Arabidopsis thaliana: one gene and its partners. The protein of the gene in region 4 binds, or shares a complex with, the protein of the main gene of each other region. Each region holds a gene or a part of one and is shown on either strand. Other genes may lie near its edges. The genes, in order: TMM, EPF2, EPF1 and ERL1. A codon is read from its position in the direction of its gene.

Region 1 (4,110 bases), on a different chromosome or scaffold from region 4:
TTTTACATGGTAAGACAACAGAGTTTGCAATTGTGCTTTTGTCCTTGGATGATATAAACCATTGAAATCTGATTTTTGTAACTGATGTTATGATAGGTTCCTGAGAGTGGACCGTGGAACTATAGCTTCACTGGAGTGAAGCACACGTTGAGCATGAAATACAGTGTCAAACTCGGATCCCCAAAGGAGTTCTATCACGAGGAGCATCGACCCACTCATTTCCTGGAGTTCAGCAACATGGAGGAGGCTGACATTACAGAGGGAGATCGCGAGGACACATTTACTTGAGATATACTCAATTTTCTTACCGTGTGTGTGATTTAGCTTTATTTTGCAGTATAGACTTGTAAGATGTTGTACTGTCTTGTGCTTTACTGAGATAGATAGTAAGGTCCCTAAATCTTAAAAAGATGGTTTGCCACTATAATCAAAATCTTGAATGTGATGTAATCATACGTACGTGTATAACGGAATTTTGGTAACTAACGTCTTCGATGAGAGAAAATAAAACGACAAATTTAAACTATTTTAAGAGGTTTTTCCCATTTCGAATAAACGCCAAATGTACAAAACATGGAAGAACAAGCAATACAAGTCTCTTATCTCCGGAAAGATAAAACAGAGATCAAAGAACAGAGTATATAGACAGAAGGAACACGTTCGAGCTTACAAGTTTTTTTTGTAGCCATAAATGGTGGCGATATTCAATCCAACTAATGCAGAAAAGGCATCTAACTAACATTATTAAACTCGGGAAGTATTTACAGCAGTTTTATCATCCCTCCTCTAACTAGATATTAGCATAAAAATGAAATTAGGGAATACAAGAAAGAATGCAGAAAGATAGGAGAACCCCAAAGACTTGGAAGTGCTTGACACGTCCGTAGCTCCGTCCGGCAAAGCACCGTCTTCTTCTCTAGATAGGTGCTGGACCGTACCGGAAGGAGCTGGTCTCGACGTTTCTGCATCACACAATCTTACAGTTGAACCAGATTTTGAACCGAATGCATCATCCAAGTCACTGTCCCGGTTAACACACAAACCAGCATTGTTATACAGCCTCAGCTTTCTCCTCATCCTCCACACTGTGTCTCTCTCGAACGGTACTGGTCCTGTCAGACTGTTATCGTTGAGCCTCAGCTCGCTTAGATGCTTCACGTCCCGGAACTCCAAAGGAATCTCTCCGGTCAGATTATTGCCCTCTAGGTGAAGGACCCGAAGACTGTTTAACCGAGTCAATGATTTCGGTATCGAGCCCTGGATGTTCGTATTCGAGAGAACAAGAATCATCAAGTTCTTGAGCCCTTTGAACGCGTTTTCAGGAATCGTTGTTGAGAATTTTGTGTTGCCTTTGAGCATTAAAGCTTGAAGAGAGTTTAGGCCTTGGAGAGAAGACGGGAATGGACCTGATAACCGGTTATAGCTCAAATCCAAAAGCACTAATTGGTTGAGCCGGTTAATCGATTCTGGGATAGGACCAGTGACTCTGTTTCGGCTAAGATCGATTTTGATCAACGATCCACAGCTTGTGAGTGTGGGTGGAACCGGTCCGGTTAAAAGATTCTGGTTCAAATCCAGAACGCTCAGCGCCGGAAGAACAAAACCGGGAATGGAACCAGTCAACCGGTTACCACTCAAATCAAGCGATCTTAAACCGGAGAACCGGTTGAACGACAAGGGAATGGAGCCGTTGAGGTGATTTTTATGCAAATCAAGAACTTTCAAATTGGTGAGATTGCCCAATTCGTCAGGGATAGGTCCCAAAAAACCATTCTCCCTCAGAACCAGCGTTTGCAGACTCGAGCCGAGGCGTCCCAGAAACGCCGGTATGCGCTGTGGGGCGCGGCCTAAACATCGGTAGAAGAACAAGGCTTTGAGGTGTTTGAGCCTCGTGAGGGACTCAGAGACGTAAGAGCGTTGTGGATCACAAGTCGGAAACGCCGTGTCGTCTGAGAGCGCTCCGAACGACAGAGAGACCACGTGGTAGACGTTATCCTGGTCCGGCATACACTCGATCCCGTGCCATCTCCCTCGGCAAACGTCTGGAATCGCGGCAGCCCAGTCGTTGCCGGTCGCACGCATAATGTCGTAGACGGCGTCTTGCTCGTCAGGCTCCGTGCGAGCGCCGTCATTGGTCATCGTGAATCCAGTTTGTGGGCCGTCGATCAGAGCAGATGGGGCCGTCGAGTCGGAGGTGATCACAGTGAAAGATCTGACCAACGGAGAAACTATAGACAAGACAATGAATATTTGGCGGAAGAATTCATATCGTGCCATTTCTTAGTTGTTGTTGTTGTGTGAATGCGGTTTAGGTTCGAAATTGTCAGTGTGTATATGTATAATTCTGAAGAAACAATTGGTGGGTCCATAAAAACGTTCGCAATGTCTTTATGACTTTCACGGGATAACTCGAGGAGCGAAATAAATAAAATTCATGATTCTCGATTTCTGCATTTATTGCTTTCACGAGATATTCCCTTCATTCGTCTTGTGTTGGGCCCTAGATCCGACCGCTTCGTGAACGGGACCCGACGTCTCCTTATCGTTTACTTTTTTTTTATTTGGGCTGAGCCCATTTTCCCATTTACGATATGTTGGGCTATTATTCAATTTGTATTTTGAACTGGGCACTGTATTTGTTTTTGTAACAAACCGTAGATAGCAATTGATAAAAAGTTTCATATGTTTGATTCTGAACCTTAAAATCATTATTTTGTTGTAACACGAGAATCTGAATAAACGGACGCGTGGTCTGTGCATACGAAAAGCACATGCCCATGGAGCAACACATGTAATACGTGTCATCTTACTAGTAACATGACATATATGAATAATGAAGTAACTACGAAAGCATCAAAACAAAGATTAGAAGTTCATAAGCCTCGTCCCATTTTCTTTGAGACTTTGACTATCACCCAAATACAAATCTTCATGCAGTCGTACAGCCGTCTGATGCAGTTCAAGGTCAAAGATCTGATGATCGACAAGCGGCGGCTGGTCGAAGTTCCTGATAATGCCACTCTAGGGGACGCCTTGAACACTATGGTAAACCACGGCTAAATAATTGTTATTTTTTTGGTTGGAGTCAACCGTTTTAAGTATCAAGAATTACTAACAAGACTATTCTTGGTATCAAACCGGTGGCAAACCGAGTTAGAGCTGTACCGGTGGCTGCCAAACCAGGCCAATGGCTGGGAGCCGGGGGATCAATGATAGTAGAGTTGGACAAACAGAGCGGAAGTGCAAGAAAACAGTACATAGGAATGGTGACCATGCTCGACGTTGTGGCTCACATCGCCGGCGATGACGGCGAGAGTGGGCTTGATAAGAAAATGGCTGCCCCTGTCTCTTCTATCATTGGTCATTGCCCTGAGGGTCTTAGCCTCTGGTCTCTCAATCCTAATACCAGGTTAATAGTATAGAAGATTTGTAAAATTAAATTGCTTTCAGTATAATTAATCCTTCCCTTTTATAATGTTAGATGTTGTACACTTTTCTCACATAGTAAGAATTCTTTTGCAACACCTAATATATATACCCATATTTCAGTCATTAATTGTTTATAGTTTCATATTTTTTATAATTCAAACTAAATGATAAATTAGAAATTATAATGCAAATTTTTCATAGAAAAATGCAAAACATTTTTCTCTTGTCAAAAATCTTAACATTATATATGAACGGATAGAGTACTAATCAAAGATGGTCATTGATGAAAGCAGCATCATGGATTGTATGGAGATGTTGAGTAAAGGAATCCACAGGGTATTGGTTCCATTGGACAGTAATACAGAAAATATAACAGGACCTGAGTTGGTAGAGTCAGCTTCTGCTTACGCAATGCTGAGTCAGATGGATCTCATCTCTTTCTTCTTCGACCAATCCTCTCAATTGCATGGTATCCTCTCCCACACCGTCACTGATCTCTCCGCTATTCACAACACTGTTTTAGCCCTCACTAGCCAGGTAAATTTCACAAGTCAAGAATTTTCATCTTTATTCATTAAATCCTAAGTTAAACGCTTGTAATGTTTAATACCAGGCTAGAGTGAAAGATGCAATACAATGCATGAGTATAGCAATGCTCAATGCGGTTCCTATCGTCGAAGC
Region 2 (3,198 bases), on a different chromosome or scaffold from region 4:
ATCAATTTGAATTTAAATGTAAATATGTTTTTTTGTTGTACTTAGATGATCATATTGAGTTATTTAATGAAGACAAAGATGGCAAGGGAGAAATATAAGAAGTTTAAATTTGCATTTAATTGCTTTTAGATTTGATACTTTGTTGAATTGTGTTCAAATTTGTTTTTAGATATATTTCAAAGTATAAGACTTTTGACTTATGTATTGATTAAAATATGAACCAAAAACTATTATGTTCAAATTTGGTTCTGATATGCCCATTGAACATCCCATTTGAACATAAACTTTAATGACATGAACGTTAATAGACATGAGTTTTAGTGGACATGAACTCCATTTATCTAATATCAAAATAGACATTATTAAAAATTGGAATGTGTTAATGGATATGGATAGCCTGCTATAGACTACCATTTTTGTTGGACATATCTTAAATTATCAACGAAGTACTCAAAAAATAAGAAAAAAATTCTGAAATAGTCTTGACCAACATTTCTTTCTTCTTAGACCTTCGAAACACATAAAAATGTTTTCTAGACCAAAACACATATTAATCATCATATTTGTTGGAGCTCAGATTTTATATAAATATCAACCAAGAAGAAAGGACTAGTTTAACCGCTAGGAATCTTTTTGTGACCAGAAAACATTTCTGCCTACGCTAGGAATCATCTATCAATAAAACATGGAATTTCTTCGTTACAAAAAAGAACTGAAAAATATGCTAAGCTCATTATTTGGTGCTTTGGGAAAAGGTCATTAAAACCAAGGGCAAGGTTCACGTTTGTGTGACAGGTTATTTTCAAGATGTCTGAACACTTTTTGGCTGCTTCTGTAAGTTCTCTGCTCTCTCTCCCATTGTGAACCTTATGACTACAATTATTAACTATTCCCTTATAGTAACTCCTTTTTTGGTCCCACGCCATATATTATATACCATATCTTTACGTATAAAACTTCTCTCTATATTCATGATACCACTAACACTTACATATTTAATGCTTCGACTTTTGTAATTATACATTCGTTCATCCTTGTGTACAATATGATCGATGGGCTTCTTGGTCTTTTAGCGGTAGAACTTTGTGTATATTAATATATATATATATGATTTACTGGTCATATTTTTTTATATAAACTATGATGTATTGGTCATAAATCGATGCTCAACTAATTTTTTTTTTAGTTTTATGTTGAACTATGATTTGTAGTGAAATATAGTCTTCTAGTTAAACATTTTCATCCATGGTTTATAATATGATTGATGAGATCTTCATATTATATATCCACTGACTGAACATGAAAACATGCACACAAGTCACAACCATATCTCAGGCTTTATTGCTACGTACATGTGAACAGTTTCTCATATTCAAAAATATTCATAGCCCGCGAACATGTTCATTGGTAACTAAAAGAATAAATCATAATGATTTTTTCTCAGAAAATCGACGAGAATCATGTGACCCTTCAACATGTGTGCCTCTTTTCATCATTTATTATCATAAATCATAAACACATAACCAATTCTTTCTCACCTTTTCCTCAACTATATATACACATATCTCACTTATCCCACCTTTAATACTTCACACACAACACATAACACACGTAGTACTTGCTTCCTATCATTTCTAGAAACTTCTCTTTAAAACCTCTGCCTCAACCAGAAAGTTTCTTCTTGTTAAAAAAAAAGATTATAAACATGACGAAGTTTGTACGCAAGTATATGTTTTGCCTCGTCCTAGTCTTCGCCGCGTGTTCTTTGGTCGTTAACTCCATTCGCACGCCGCCACTAAGTCCGTCACATCAATATCTTTTGGTTATAGTTTATATTTTACTTGGTAATGATTTTCATATATTAACATTTTATACTTTTTAATGTAGAAAACACGGTCAATGGCGGAGAAAAGAAAAACGCCGATATAGAACAAGCTCAAACGCACCACAAGGTAGGTCCTGTCTCCCACGGTGCACTTCTCTCATTTTAATTTATGTGCAAAAATACCATATTTTAATATATAAAAATATTTTTTTAATAATAACAACTGCATTTGATTTTTTCTTTTAATTAATTTTTAATTTTTTCTTTATAAAAGAAGTCATTGTCAATTAATTGTTTTCTTGTTGTAATGTGGTGAAGAAGGAAATAAGCAAAAACGGAGGGGTAGAAATGGAAATGTACCCAACAGGATCAAGCTTACCGGATTGTTCATACGCGTGTGGCGCATGTTCGCCGTGTAAACGTGTGATGATTAGTTTCGAATGCTCAGTCGCCGAATCATGTAGCGTCATCTACAGATGCACGTGCAGAGGGAGATACTATCACGTGCCATCTAGAGCTTGAATTGAATCTCCGCCGTTTATTTTTTTTTGACGTCTGTGATTAAAATATCAGTTTTGGCTGGCGGCGAAACTTTTTTTCTATTGTACAATTTGTTGGGATATTAAATTAAATGCTATTGGCCCACTTTGAAGTCTTATAATTAATATTGGGCTTTATTAGGCCTTTTCAAAGAGAGTTTGTATGACACGACCGAATCAGATTCTTGAACCGGTACATCACAAAGTCAAATGCTTCGGTTGGCCAATTATTTATTGTTTCCTTTTAAAAGCCATCTCCATCATACCGGTAACCGGTTAAACCAAAAAAATCATTTATGTAACAATGTGTAAAGTATAAACTTTTTCTTACTATGGATCGTTTTGAAATTTACATCTTCTTACATTAATCTGATTTGCATTAGTTAAAGAAATCATTTTCTTTTGTTCAAAAACTTAGACGTTTTTTTTTTTGGTTTAATTTAAAAAAAAACTTAGAAGTTAGAATAAAGTTTTGTTCTTCATTTTTTTGGTACACGAATAAAGATTTTTTTAGTTGTTTTTTTTTGGTAAAACTTTTTTTTTTGTTTTGTTTTTTATTAGTTGTTTATTTTCTCGTAATTTCTAATTTATGTTATGAGCATACAATATTCTATAGATTTTAAGTGTTTTTAGGGGAAAAAAACATTTGTAATAAATTTTACTTTTGTGTTTAAACTTTAAGCTATTTCCGTCTCGCTTTTTAAAGTGAAGACTAGTCTATGTTATTTGACTATGAAAAATGAAATTAAAAATGATTTTAAATCAGAAAATAAAACAATGACTTTGGCAAATAAAAATTTATTTATATTAATTTTGTCTTCCCATTTTGAAAAA
Region 3 (3,064 bases), on a different chromosome or scaffold from region 4:
ACCAGGGAGTTGGGTGTGAGGTCCGGCCCCTTGTCCACCATTATATGATGGGATTCCCCCACCAGTAAGTGGAGCTCCGGTGACAGGATTGTAAGGGTAGAACGGCTTCTTGCATTTGGGAGGAAGCAAGAACCTTCCAACACCGGGAATGAGAATAGTTGGTTTGGGCTCAATGGTTACAAGAAAGTCAGGGTGTTTGACATCAGTGGTCTTAGGGGACTTGGGAACGTGACGTAGTCCACTCACTTGCTCTACAGATCCAAGCACTAGGCTTAAAACCACGACAATGACTGCGGAGGTGATAAGTGAAGAAGCCATTAATTTTATTTTATTTTGTTGTAGAGGAGAAAGCTCGTGTGTTTGTTTGATCCTGTGGAGGGAATGTGTGTGTATGTATATAGTAAAATACTGAGCTAATTGTGGGAACATTTAACGAAGGTGAGATGATATGGTTGAAAATAAAGGGTGTGTAACAAATGGGTAGTGTGGTTATTATTAGCGAGCCTCCAAAGTTTGGTGGTAACAACGTATACGTACTTTTGTTGTTGCCTTTTAAATATAATTCTGTCTACAACTTTTGTTGTTGCTGTCTTAAATACGGCCTCATGGACCATAATACAGCGAGAGAGCCCAAATAGGTGAGTGGCTTTCATTTTTTGATATCCATATATTTTCTGATTAATTAATCTCGGATCAAACTGTGTTTAAGATTCCTATTAATAATAAGAAAGAAACTAATTAAAGATGCATTGTATACGTACACATGGTCATGTCCCGGAGAAGCAAAAGGAAAACAAAACGGTTGAATGCATAGAATAAGTGTAGAAGAGGCTGATCAAGGGACAGGGTAGGACTTATTGTTGCACATGCATTTATAAGCCATTGGACAAGTCTCAGCCTCTTCGACGGATGCACACACAAAGCTAACCATCACAAGACGGCATGGAGAACACGAGCCACACGCGTGTGAGCAATCTGGCAACCTAGACCCAGCCACCTGCACCGTGTCCGGCCTCCTCCTCTGACGCTTCAATGCCCCGGTCATTCCTACATGATGATGACCTGCACATGCACGCAGACATGAACAAGTTAGAGATCTTGAAGATAGTGAAAGAGCTGGAGTAAGAAAGATGTGCATAGATACATACTTGGATGGGAGGATGTTGGTAAATGCCTAGCCAAGAGAGAGCCAAAGAAGAAAGAGAGGAAAAAGGCAAGGAGAAGAAGAGACTTCATGATATATTATCGCAAGTGGTAAAAGTAAAATTTGGGATGAAATAGTACGGCGAGAAACAAGGTATATATGATCGTTAACAAAGGGTTAGGAAATTGAAGAGACTCACGGTAGAGAAGAGGAGAGAGTCACATGAAAACAAGATCGAACATATGAAATGATATAAATTTTGAGGAGATGATGTAGAGTATGTGAAGCCTAATTAAGAACTTGAACTTCATTCGTGCTGCTTTGGTGAGTGTCATGAGCTTCCTCTGTGAAAAACTGAAAGACATACTTTTGTGTGCAATCACCTTTAATTTACCCTCTATAACCCTTCTTTTCTGTGACCTTCATTAATGCACCCAATTAATGTTCTTACTAAAAAAAAAAAGTTGAGCATTTGATGAGATAGAATGAGGGACATTGTCTTGGGGCTTGTGTTTTAAAATCGATAATATAATAGAGTTAATTACACATGAGGTTATTAATGATTTAAATACTGATTATACTGAAATTGCACAATTGTTTTGAAAATGATAGTATGTTCTATACTTGACATCTCAATATTTTGACACTACTACACTTTAAGCGATTAATGAAAAAATATTAAAGTTTCAATCAACTTTGCACACAAAAAAAAGTTTCAATCAACATTTGAAGAGTGTCGAACATGCACCTCACCAATCACATTACACTATAACTTTTCTACACCTTTCTTTGGGATGCTAAATTTCAATGAAAATTTTCTTATTAAGTTTCTATTTGCTAAAGGGGGCAGAAACATCAAAGGTCAAATGATTTAGTTACCAAAGTCAACGGCTTAACATCATAAAATCATCTTCTAGGAATCAATGTCCCTTTGAGTAGCCTTCATAGTATAATCTTCAAAACTTTGGCAAGTTAATATATAAATATGAAGCACTCATAATATAACTGGTATAAGATAATGGTTTGGGATTTGACATTCGTTGCATTCTTAATCAATCTAATCGTTTTCTCAAACTGCTGCCAATAAATTTAAAAGAAGAGAAAAACTTATTAAGTAGAATGATGGACCACGTTAAAATATCTTAATAAGAATACTACATAAAATACTAATGGATAGTGTATAAGTTTAATTGGAATAGCAAGTTTTATGATTGGAGAGATAGAGCATAGAGAGATAATGAAAGTGGAGAGAGCTGACCCATTCATTCACCGACTTTTTAAGCTTTAAGCTGTTGACTTTTTCTTCTAACACGAACCTTTTCCCTTGTCTTTGTTTTCTTTTTGTTTTGTTTTGTTTTGGAGTTTGTTTATCTTTATCTGCCGAAAGTTTAAGACTTCAGCCTCCCACCTTGGCACCTCCTTGCGTCCACGTCATCTTAATATGTACCAAGGTTTCTAAGTTCTTCATGTCAATAGACATTATAACATATTTGGAATCCATATTATGCAAGGAGACATCGGTTTTACTAATGCGAATTGAGGGGCTTGTATAAAATCGGTCTGCTTCAGAAAACATTCCATTTTTCAACCCTTGAAAGTCCATTCAGTTTACCATCCAAGAGTTTTTCCTTGTTGTGAATGATAAGAAAATCCATAACATTTATCTAATTTTATCGTATTGGAAAAATAATTTAATATTTCTGAATACATTTATTAAAAATATAGTTAAAAACGATGTATTTTTAGCGTTTTATAATTATTTAGCATTATTTAGATGTTTTCGTTATTTTGTTATTACATCATTTTAATTATTATTCATGTGACTTGAAATTAATTACTTTTTAAGGTCGAATCTTTTTTTACGCCTGCCTTTACACTTCTTATTAGAAGGTTATGTATCGAAACAGCCATCCAAAATTT
Region 4 (7,680 bases):
AACAAAATGCCTAAAATGTTCATACTTCATTACATCAACAAGGTTATGCCCACGATATAGAGGCATGTAACATTTATATATATAGTGGAAGAAGCCTACGAGCTTTATTAATAAGTATAAACTCTGATTATTAGGTAAATAAATTACTTAAAACGATTACTCAACTGACAAAACCGTAGTTGAATAATAAGGTTACTATGAATACCGATTGAATATTGCAAAGCCGGAATTGAAAAATATATAACAGATCAAATGTTCAAGTGTGGTCATAATTCTCACATAGGTCATATAGCTGAACCCATGCATCTATTTACTAGTCTATAGAAAGTACTAGAGACGCATACAGCTGAACCTACTCTATTCTTTTATTAATTTTGGTTCTCGTGGATACAAAATTCCTCCAACATTTATTAGAACGAATAAAACCAATATGATGATGATTAGTTATTGGTAAACATATAAACGTTGAGTAAACTTCAAAATAGATTGAAGTACTATTAAGACTTGCATTTTTTCCCCTTGGGTTATATTCTTGAATCGTTTCGAAGTATTTTAACTTTCAAGAATAGAAGGTTCCTCAACTATAAACAATTACATTAATCAAAACCATTTCTATGTAAACAACATAATTTTTGTATATTTTAGTCTTCCCCAAAAGTTTGACCGATAGGGCGGTTTAGACCGTATAGTACGACTGTACAACAAAAAGGACTCTGGAGACCTAAAGATCCAAAACTATGCAAAATAAAGATACGGTCGGACCAATTTAATCTAACAAAACCAAATCCTTATACTAAACTATTTACCGATACATTTCCATATAACACAGTACACACAATTAAATCAAACATTATTGGAAGAACAAGATAGAATATTGGCTTAATCTCGAACGATTAGAGTTATCCTAGAGCCTCGGAGCTTTTGTCACATATAATATAAACTATGGTATATATAAACATGACTCTCATTTGTATTTATCGCAAGGTACAATTCCACCAATTTTTTTCGTCCCACTCATACAGCTTTAATTGTGAAATCAATCCATAAAAAACCAACATGTGACATGGTCTCTATAACTATAACTATAAGATAGTAAAAAATTCACATCAACATAAAAGAAAACCAATCATATTGGCTAAAAAAAACTAACGGTCGAAAAACGTATAACCACAAAACCAAACCGGTCCAACCGGTGTCCCCAATCACTATCAAAGCATTAACTAACTTTCACAAGGAAAAGCATAGTTCAGTTTCTCTACATCGCTTCCCATCCTCTTAACCCTGTTTACTCGAATCATCCACCGTTGGATCAAACACGCGCTACAAATCTAGCGCGTGACCGAGGTTTTTACACAGTGGAATATTACCATGCATTGGAAAGCGGCGTCTACAACAAACGGCGGGTCATGTCACCGTCAAAATCAACCTTTCTTAATTCCTAACGCCGTTACTTATCTCCGTTTACTAAAAATGTTAATGCGTGTGAGAGTGAAGATCATATACTAATTAGAAGTGGCTAATGTTTTAACGTGACATTATTATCATAGTTAATGGTTCGATCAGAGTTTTAAGTAGTAAATGATATAAGTGTGTGTATATAATTGCATACATATATACTCTCACACTCTGACAGATTTGTCGTGGTCTTAGTATTCTCTTTCATGGCTAGTTATATAGGGCTCTAGTACATTATCTCTCTCTCCCCATTTCTCTGTCTCTCTCTTCTTTAACATCTCTGGCTCTGCATTTCTTGCAGTTCACGCTAATCACCTGTTTTGGTACCCTTTTCTCTCTGCAACAATGGCAGAACAAGCCTGAAGTTTCGTTCTTTTGTGTTTTGGTTTCCTCTGCTTTGTTGTTATTGAATCAAAACTTCAACGAGCTTCTTGGCTTATTACCCCAAAAGGAAAGAAGAATAAGAAGAAAAAAATGAAGGAGAAGATGCAGCGAATGGTTTTATCTTTAGCAATGGTGGGTTTTATGGTTTTTGGTGTTGCTTCGGCTATGAACAACGAAGGTTTGTTTCTTCTAACTCTTTTGTTTTTGTCTTTTTTCTTGTGATCTCTGTTTAAAATTTTGATTATGTGCTTCAAAAATTAGGGTTTAGTTAGGTATATCTCCTTAAACCCATTCTCTGATTTTTTCTGAAAGTTTGAATCTAAAATCGTCTGTGTTAGAAGTTATCATGACATATAATCTTTGGTTTATGTCAAACATTTGGTTTCCCCATAAAAAGAGAGTTAAAGTTGAAAGCTTTTTCATACCCAATACTTAGCTCTGGCTTGTTCTTCATCAAATGCATATAAAGATGCAATCTTTTCTCCATTTCCCAAGAAATTTGATCATGATTAGTACACAGAGAATGCCTGTTCCTGTACCATGGAAAGTTTGTGTTTTTTTCAAGCTGTTTCCCGAGAAAAAAACGAAGCTTAATCCCTAGTGTCCTGGAGAGAAAGGACATGAAATTTACAAAAATTCCTTAGTTTTGGTTTATGTATATTTAACTATGTGACTGATGTTCCGCGTTTCAAATGATTTATTACTAATCCTAGTTGAGTCTGTTTATGAATTTTGAAAACCCACAGGGAAAGCTCTGATGGCGATAAAAGGCTCTTTCAGCAACTTAGTGAATATGCTTTTGGATTGGGACGATGTTCACAACAGTGACTTGTGTTCTTGGCGAGGTGTTTTCTGCGACAACGTTAGCTACTCCGTTGTCTCTCTGTAAGAATCTTATTTGAGTTCAATAATAATTCTTGTGTTGTTGAAAAATGTCTCTCTTTTGTGGTCTTGTAATATTCTGCTTTTTTTCTATTTTTACTTTGTGAAGGAATTTGTCCAGTCTGAATCTTGGAGGGGAGATATCTCCAGCTATTGGAGACCTACGGAATTTGCAATCAATGTAATGGTTTTTTTTCCCTTTCTTTCTCTGTTGATTTGCATGTTTGAACTTTGAAATGTTGTAGCTTTTGTTCATAAAGGCTTTTTCCAATTGCAGAGACTTGCAAGGTAATAAACTAGCAGGTCAAATTCCAGATGAGATTGGAAACTGTGCTTCTCTTGTTTATCTGTAAGTCTTATTAAACTTGTTTTTTTGAGTTTTCAATTTTCATGTCTTTAGTTTTGACGTCCATATCCTCTGTTGTACAGGGATTTGTCCGAGAATCTGTTATATGGAGACATACCTTTCTCAATCTCTAAACTCAAGCAGCTTGAAACTCTGTATGTGTTATACTTCAACATTTTGTTTTTCCGATTCAAAGTTCAAATTTTGTCTACTTGTTCTTTTTTTTTTTCGAGTGGATTTTTGTGAACCTTTGAACTTGTGGATGTATCAGGAATCTGAAGAACAATCAGCTCACAGGTCCTGTACCAGCAACCTTAACCCAGATTCCAAACCTTAAGAGACTGTGAGTTCTTTAGTTACATCATTTACTCATGAATCAAAATTTGGGAATAGATTTTGAACTTACTCATTTTCTTTTTTCCAATCATGATGTTGCAGTGATCTTGCTGGCAATCATCTAACGGGTGAGATATCGAGATTGCTTTACTGGAATGAAGTTTTGCAGTATCTGTAAGTTCGTCAGAGTCATTTTCTCTGATCTCAATATAGTCTACACCATAGAAGAAGTTAATTTTCTCCTTCTAATACTTTCTTTCTGCAGTGGATTACGAGGGAATATGTTGACTGGAACGTTATCTTCTGATATGTGTCAGCTAACCGGTTTGTGGTACTTGTAAGTGGATCCAACGCTCTGCCATCTTTTGAGTCTTGTATAGATCCTGGTCCTTCTTTGATTCATTCAAGTCTTGAGTTATATTTTTTAACTTGTGTTTTGTTGTTGGAAGTGATGTGAGAGGAAATAATCTAACTGGAACCATCCCGGAGAGCATCGGAAATTGCACAAGCTTTCAAATCCTGTATGTGCCATCTTAAATTAAACATTAGACTTCCACTATAGGAGTGAATTTTGGACTCATACCTTTTGATATTACAGGGACATATCTTATAATCAGATAACAGGAGAGATTCCTTACAATATCGGCTTCCTCCAAGTTGCTACTCTGTGAGTATTGAGCCTCTTTTACCTTAGTTTCATCAGTAAATTGTTAACATGCGGTTATTGAATTGTGTATTATTACTTTTTGAAGGTCACTTCAAGGAAACAGATTGACGGGTAGAATTCCAGAAGTTATTGGTCTAATGCAGGCTCTTGCTGTTTTGTAAGTTCAATTCATATGGAAAAGTAACGACAAAGTACATTCTTGAATTTGGCTCGTCTGACTTTGTGAATCCTATTCAATTCACAGGGATTTGAGTGACAATGAGCTTGTTGGTCCTATCCCACCGATACTTGGCAATCTCTCATTTACCGGAAAGTTGTGAGTCTTTTTTGTATAACTGTAGTATCTCATATGTTCAGCTAATCAGCTCTTGGCATATGCATTGATACCTTTTTTTTTTGTTGAAATAGGTATCTCCATGGCAATATGCTCACTGGTCCAATCCCCTCTGAGCTTGGGAATATGTCACGTCTCAGCTATTTGTAAGCTTGTTTTAAACTTCAAATCTGTTTACATAGCTTTCGCATTCCATATACTTATCTATTTTGCTTTTCTTTTACCGATTTTGAAGGCAGCTAAACGACAATAAACTAGTGGGAACTATTCCACCTGAGCTTGGAAAGCTGGAGCAATTGTTTGAACTGTGAGTTTCTTTTCCTTGCTCTAAAGTTTTTCACTTTAGCTGTTGAAGCATTACATTTGATCCTTGTTTTTACTGATCCATTTTTTGACATGAAAGGAATCTTGCCAACAACCGTTTAGTAGGGCCCATACCATCCAACATTAGTTCATGTGCAGCCTTGAATCAATTGTAAGCTATAAGATAGTTCATTTTGAATTCATGCTTTACTCTTCTTATTCACAAACCTAAATTCTGCTGCTCTACTTGAATTCAGCAATGTTCATGGGAACCTCTTGAGTGGATCTATTCCACTGGCGTTTCGCAATCTCGGGAGCTTGACTTATCTGTGAGTTTCATTCAATACAATGCTGTAACATTGCTTCCCTCTAAACATTATAGTGACTGTTGAATCCTTTTGGATGCAGGAATCTTTCGTCGAACAATTTCAAGGGAAAAATACCAGTTGAGCTTGGACATATAATCAATCTTGACAAACTGTATGTCTTCTCAACTTTGTTACATCGTTTGGTTTTATGTTTCAGTTTGAATTTGCTGCAAACTCATCATATGTTTTTGTTTCCAGAGATCTGTCTGGCAATAACTTCTCAGGGTCTATACCATTAACGCTTGGCGATCTTGAACACCTTCTCATATTGTAAGTCTTTTACACTTAAAGTTGTAAATTTGTAAATGTTTTTCTTGTGTTTGTTAACTTTTAATCTTTTGCTTCATTAAACAGAAATCTTAGCAGAAACCATCTTAGTGGACAATTACCTGCAGAGTTTGGGAACCTTCGAAGCATTCAGATGATGTAAAGCTTATAGTTGCTTCTTTTGGTTATATCAAAATCATATTTTTTTTCTGACTTATCTGTTTTACTTGTAGTGATGTATCATTCAATCTGCTCTCCGGAGTTATTCCAACTGAACTTGGCCAATTGCAGAATTTAAACTCTTTGTAAGTTAATAATATGATCTTATCATTTGTATTATATACAAAATAGATGTATGGTTTGATCTTTATGTTTATGTACAGAATATTGAACAACAACAAGCTTCATGGGAAAATTCCAGATCAGCTTACGAACTGCTTCACTCTTGTCAATCTGTAAGTTCTTCTGCAAGAGATACTTGCTTATGAGCAATATTAGCCCTTTGGAAGATTTGTGAATCCAACATTTTCTTCTTCTTTCTTCGAAAACGTTTTAGGAATGTCTCCTTCAACAATCTCTCCGGGATAGTCCCACCAATGAAAAACTTCTCACGTTTTGCTCCAGCCAGGTATGAAGCTTCTCTCAGTAGTCTGTCATTATGATCAATACGCATAAGCTTTCATTGTAAAACTAAATTCATAACCTCTGTATAGCTTTGTTGGAAATCCATATCTTTGTGGAAACTGGGTTGGATCTATTTGTGGTCCTTTACCGAAATCTCGAGGTATCTACTAGATTTATCCATTAAGCATTTTCTTCAATAGATGTTTTTTCTTGTTTATTTGAGCTTGCTTTTCTTGTTCTTTTCAGTATTCTCCAGAGGTGCTTTGATCTGCATTGTTCTTGGCGTCATCACTCTCCTATGTATGATTTTCCTTGCAGTTTACAAATCAATGCAGCAGAAGAAGATTCTACAAGGCTCCTCAAAACAAGCTGAAGGTAATGATGATGCCTTCATACTTCTTCATAACTCATATTCTGTTCTTATATGACAATATCAATCTTTACCGATTCTCAGGGTTAACCAAGCTAGTGATTCTCCACATGGACATGGCAATTCATACATTTGATGATATCATGAGAGTGACTGAGAATCTTAACGAAAAGTTTATAATTGGATATGGTGCTTCTAGCACGGTATACAAATGTGCATTAAAAAGTTCCCGACCTATTGCCATTAAGCGACTCTACAATCAGTATCCGCATAACTTGCGGGAATTTGAGACAGAACTTGAGACCATTGGGAGCATTAGGCACAGAAACATAGTCAGCTTGCATGGATATGCCTTGTCTCCTACTGGCAACCTTCTTTTCTATGACTACATGGAAAATGGATCACTTTGGGACCTTCTTCATGGTAAGTTCTTCTAACTTTTTTTGGTTCAATTTGTGAAAGATTGATTTGCAGATAAACGGTAAAAATGTTTTGATTTTTATTTTCTTGAAAAGGGTCATTGAAGAAAGTGAAGCTTGATTGGGAGACAAGGTTGAAGATAGCGGTTGGAGCTGCACAAGGACTAGCCTATCTTCACCACGATTGTACTCCTCGAATCATTCACCGTGACATCAAGTCATCGAACATACTTCTTGATGAGAATTTCGAAGCACATTTATCTGATTTCGGGATTGCTAAGAGCATACCAGCTAGCAAAACCCATGCCTCGACTTATGTTTTGGGAACAATTGGTTATATAGACCCAGAGTATGCTCGTACTTCACGAATCAATGAGAAATCCGATATATACAGCTTCGGTATTGTTCTTCTTGAGCTTCTCACTGGGAAGAAAGCAGTGGATAACGAAGCTAACTTGCATCAACTGGTATATGAATCAAGAATCACTATAGATTATGATCTTTGAACCTTAAAAGAGTTAACGTTTTTTTTTTTTATGTTGCAGATATTGTCAAAGGCTGATGATAATACTGTGATGGAAGCAGTTGATCCAGAGGTTACTGTGACTTGTATGGACTTGGGACATATCAGGAAGACATTTCAGCTGGCTCTCTTATGCACAAAGCGAAACCCTTTAGAGAGACCCACAATGCTTGAAGTCTCTAGGGTTCTGCTCTCTCTTGTCCCATCTCTGCAAGTAGCAAAGAAGCTACCTTCTCTTGATCACTCAACCAAAAAGCTGCAGCAAGAGAATGAAGTTAGGAATCCTGATGCAGAAGCATCTCAATGGTTTGTTCAGTTCCGTGAAGTCATCTCCAAAAGTAGCATATAAGAGAAAGATTCCAGGGCTTTTGTTTAGTTTCTTGTGTCCTAAGGAAGATAGTA

What was found.
Region 1: the proteins of ERL1 (region 4) and TMM are in contact, whole or in part, in a crystal structure (PDB 5XKJ), measured with the Arabidopsis thaliana proteins. Residues at the interface, in NP_201029.1 of Arabidopsis thaliana: Glu86 (codon at 2,859), Pro89 (codon at 2,868), Gln110 (codon at 3,027), Ile111 (codon at 3,030), Pro112 (codon at 3,033), Asp113 (codon at 3,036), Glu114 (codon at 3,039), Tyr132 (codon at 3,173), Asp134 (codon at 3,179), Pro136 (codon at 3,185), Phe137 (codon at 3,188), Ser138 (codon at 3,191), Lys141 (codon at 3,200), Glu146 (codon at 3,215), Thr156 (codon at 3,361), Gly157 (codon at 3,364), Pro158 (codon at 3,367), Pro160 (codon at 3,373), Ala161 (codon at 3,376), Thr162 (codon at 3,379), Thr164 (codon at 3,385), Gln165 (codon at 3,388), Pro167 (codon at 3,394), Asn168 (codon at 3,397), Lys170 (codon at 3,403), Ser184 (codon at 3,540), Arg185 (codon at 3,543), Leu186 (codon at 3,546), Trp189 (codon at 3,555), Glu191 (codon at 3,561); in NP_178125.1 of Arabidopsis thaliana: Leu108 (codon at 1,956), Ser109 (codon at 1,953), Asp111 (codon at 1,947), Thr112 (codon at 1,944), Tyr140 (codon at 1,860), Arg141 (codon at 1,857), Val165 (codon at 1,785), Arg167 (codon at 1,779), Glu168 (codon at 1,776), Val187 (codon at 1,719), Asp189 (codon at 1,713), His191 (codon at 1,707), Arg210 (codon at 1,650), Ser211 (codon at 1,647), Ser232 (codon at 1,584), Val233 (codon at 1,581), Ile256 (codon at 1,512), Lys257 (codon at 1,509), Asp259 (codon at 1,503), Gln278 (codon at 1,446), Val280 (codon at 1,440), Leu281 (codon at 1,437), Asp283 (codon at 1,431), Gln304 (codon at 1,368), Ala305 (codon at 1,365), Met307 (codon at 1,359), Lys309 (codon at 1,353), Met330 (codon at 1,290), Ile331 (codon at 1,287), Val333 (codon at 1,281).
Region 2: the proteins of ERL1 (region 4) and EPF2 are in contact, whole or in part, in a crystal structure (PDB 5XKJ), measured with the Arabidopsis thaliana proteins. Residues at the interface, in NP_201029.1 of Arabidopsis thaliana: Trp218 (codon at 3,733), Gly236 (codon at 3,899), Asn237 (codon at 3,902), Thr239 (codon at 3,908), Gln242 (codon at 3,917), Ile243 (codon at 3,920), Gly260 (codon at 4,048), Phe261 (codon at 4,051), Leu262 (codon at 4,054), Gln263 (codon at 4,057), Ala265 (codon at 4,063), Thr266 (codon at 4,066), Leu284 (codon at 4,205), Met285 (codon at 4,208), Gln286 (codon at 4,211), Ala287 (codon at 4,214), Leu288 (codon at 4,217), Ala289 (codon at 4,220), Val290 (codon at 4,223), Phe311 (codon at 4,373); in NP_564442.1 of Arabidopsis thaliana: Thr69 (codon at 2,189), Gly70 (codon at 2,192), Ser71 (codon at 2,195), Ser72 (codon at 2,198), Leu73 (codon at 2,201), Phe93 (codon at 2,261), Ser102 (codon at 2,288), Val103 (codon at 2,291), Ile104 (codon at 2,294), Tyr105 (codon at 2,297), His115 (codon at 2,327), Ser118 (codon at 2,336), Arg119 (codon at 2,339), Ala120 (codon at 2,342).
Region 3: the proteins of ERL1 (region 4) and EPF1 are in contact, whole or in part, in a crystal structure (PDB 5XJO), measured with the Arabidopsis thaliana proteins. Residues at the interface, in NP_201029.1 of Arabidopsis thaliana: Trp218 (codon at 3,733), Gln242 (codon at 3,917), Ile243 (codon at 3,920), Tyr257 (codon at 4,039), Gly260 (codon at 4,048), Phe261 (codon at 4,051), Leu262 (codon at 4,054), Gln263 (codon at 4,057), Ala265 (codon at 4,063), Thr266 (codon at 4,066), Val281 (codon at 4,196), Leu284 (codon at 4,205), Met285 (codon at 4,208), Gln286 (codon at 4,211), Ala287 (codon at 4,214), Leu288 (codon at 4,217), Ala289 (codon at 4,220), Val290 (codon at 4,223), Phe311 (codon at 4,373); in NP_179684.1 of Arabidopsis thaliana: Ala53 (codon at 994), Gly54 (codon at 991), Ser55 (codon at 988), Arg56 (codon at 985), Leu57 (codon at 982), Met74 (codon at 931), Phe77 (codon at 922), Pro89 (codon at 886), Met90 (codon at 883), Ala91 (codon at 880), Tyr92 (codon at 877), Lys93 (codon at 874).

The regions. Positions count from the first base shown.
Region 1 is NC_003070.9:30,127,287-30,131,396, forward strand, and holds TMM (Leucine-rich repeat (LRR) family protein), read right to left. Parts: upstream 2,364-4,110; 5' UTR 2,278-2,363; coding exon 787-2,277; 3' UTR 533-786; downstream 1-532. Other genes in the region: SUS2 (Pre-mRNA-processing-splicing factor), read left to right, coding at 1-9, 97-288; CBSX4 (Cystathionine beta-synthase (CBS) family protein), read left to right, coding at 2,932-3,045, 3,141-3,409, 3,723-3,966, 4,043-4,110. UniProt on the Arabidopsis thaliana protein: Promotes cell fate progression in stomatal development. In leaves, needed to correctly orient spacing divisions, to limit the number of asymmetric divisions in neighbor cells, and to promote the asymmetric (amplifying) divisions of meristemoids.
Region 2 is NC_003070.9:12,471,285-12,474,482, forward strand, and holds EPF2 (Putative membrane lipoprotein), read left to right. Parts: upstream 1-1,583; 5' UTR 1,584-1,705; coding exon 1,706-1,799; intron 1,800-1,887; coding exon 1,888-1,952; intron 1,953-2,143; coding exon 2,144-2,347; 3' UTR 2,348-2,690; downstream 2,691-3,198. UniProt on the Arabidopsis thaliana protein: Controls stomatal patterning. Regulates the number of cells that enter, and remain in, the stomatal lineage by inhibiting protodermal cells from adopting the meristemoid mother cell (MMC) fate in a non-cell-autonomous manner.
Region 3 is NC_003071.7:8,982,344-8,985,407, forward strand, and holds EPF1 (epidermal patterning factor 1), read right to left. Parts: upstream 1,472-3,064; 5' UTR 1,237-1,471; coding exon 1,149-1,236; intron 1,063-1,148; coding exon 836-1,062; 3' UTR 520-835; downstream 1-519. Other genes in the region: AT2G20870 (cell wall protein precursor), read right to left, coding at 1-318. UniProt on the Arabidopsis thaliana protein: Controls stomatal patterning. Regulates asymmetric cell division during guard cell differentiation. Mediates stomatal development inhibition. Not cleaved by the protease CRSP (AC Q9LNU1).
Region 4 is NC_003076.8:24,994,504-25,002,183, forward strand, and holds the start of ERL1 (ERECTA-like 1), read left to right. Parts: upstream 1-1,632; 5' UTR 1,633-1,929; coding exon 1,930-2,017; intron 2,018-2,585; coding exon 2,586-2,724; intron 2,725-2,830; coding exon 2,831-2,902; intron 2,903-2,998; coding exon 2,999-3,070; intron 3,071-3,150; coding exon 3,151-3,222; intron 3,223-3,338; coding exon 3,339-3,410; intron 3,411-3,505; coding exon 3,506-3,577; intron 3,578-3,668; coding exon 3,669-3,740; intron 3,741-3,852; coding exon 3,853-3,924; intron 3,925-4,001; coding exon 4,002-4,070; intron 4,071-4,155; coding exon 4,156-4,227; intron 4,228-4,314; coding exon 4,315-4,386; intron 4,387-4,478; coding exon 4,479-4,550; intron 4,551-4,639; coding exon 4,640-4,711; intron 4,712-4,807; coding exon 4,808-4,879; intron 4,880-4,964; coding exon 4,965-5,036; intron 5,037-5,115; coding exon 5,116-5,187; intron 5,188-5,273; coding exon 5,274-5,345; intron 5,346-5,429; coding exon 5,430-5,501; intron 5,502-5,575; and 16 more. UniProt on the Arabidopsis thaliana protein: Receptor kinase that regulates inflorescence architecture and organ shape as well as stomatal patterning, including density and clustering, together with ER and ERL2. Redundantly involved with ER in procambial development regulation.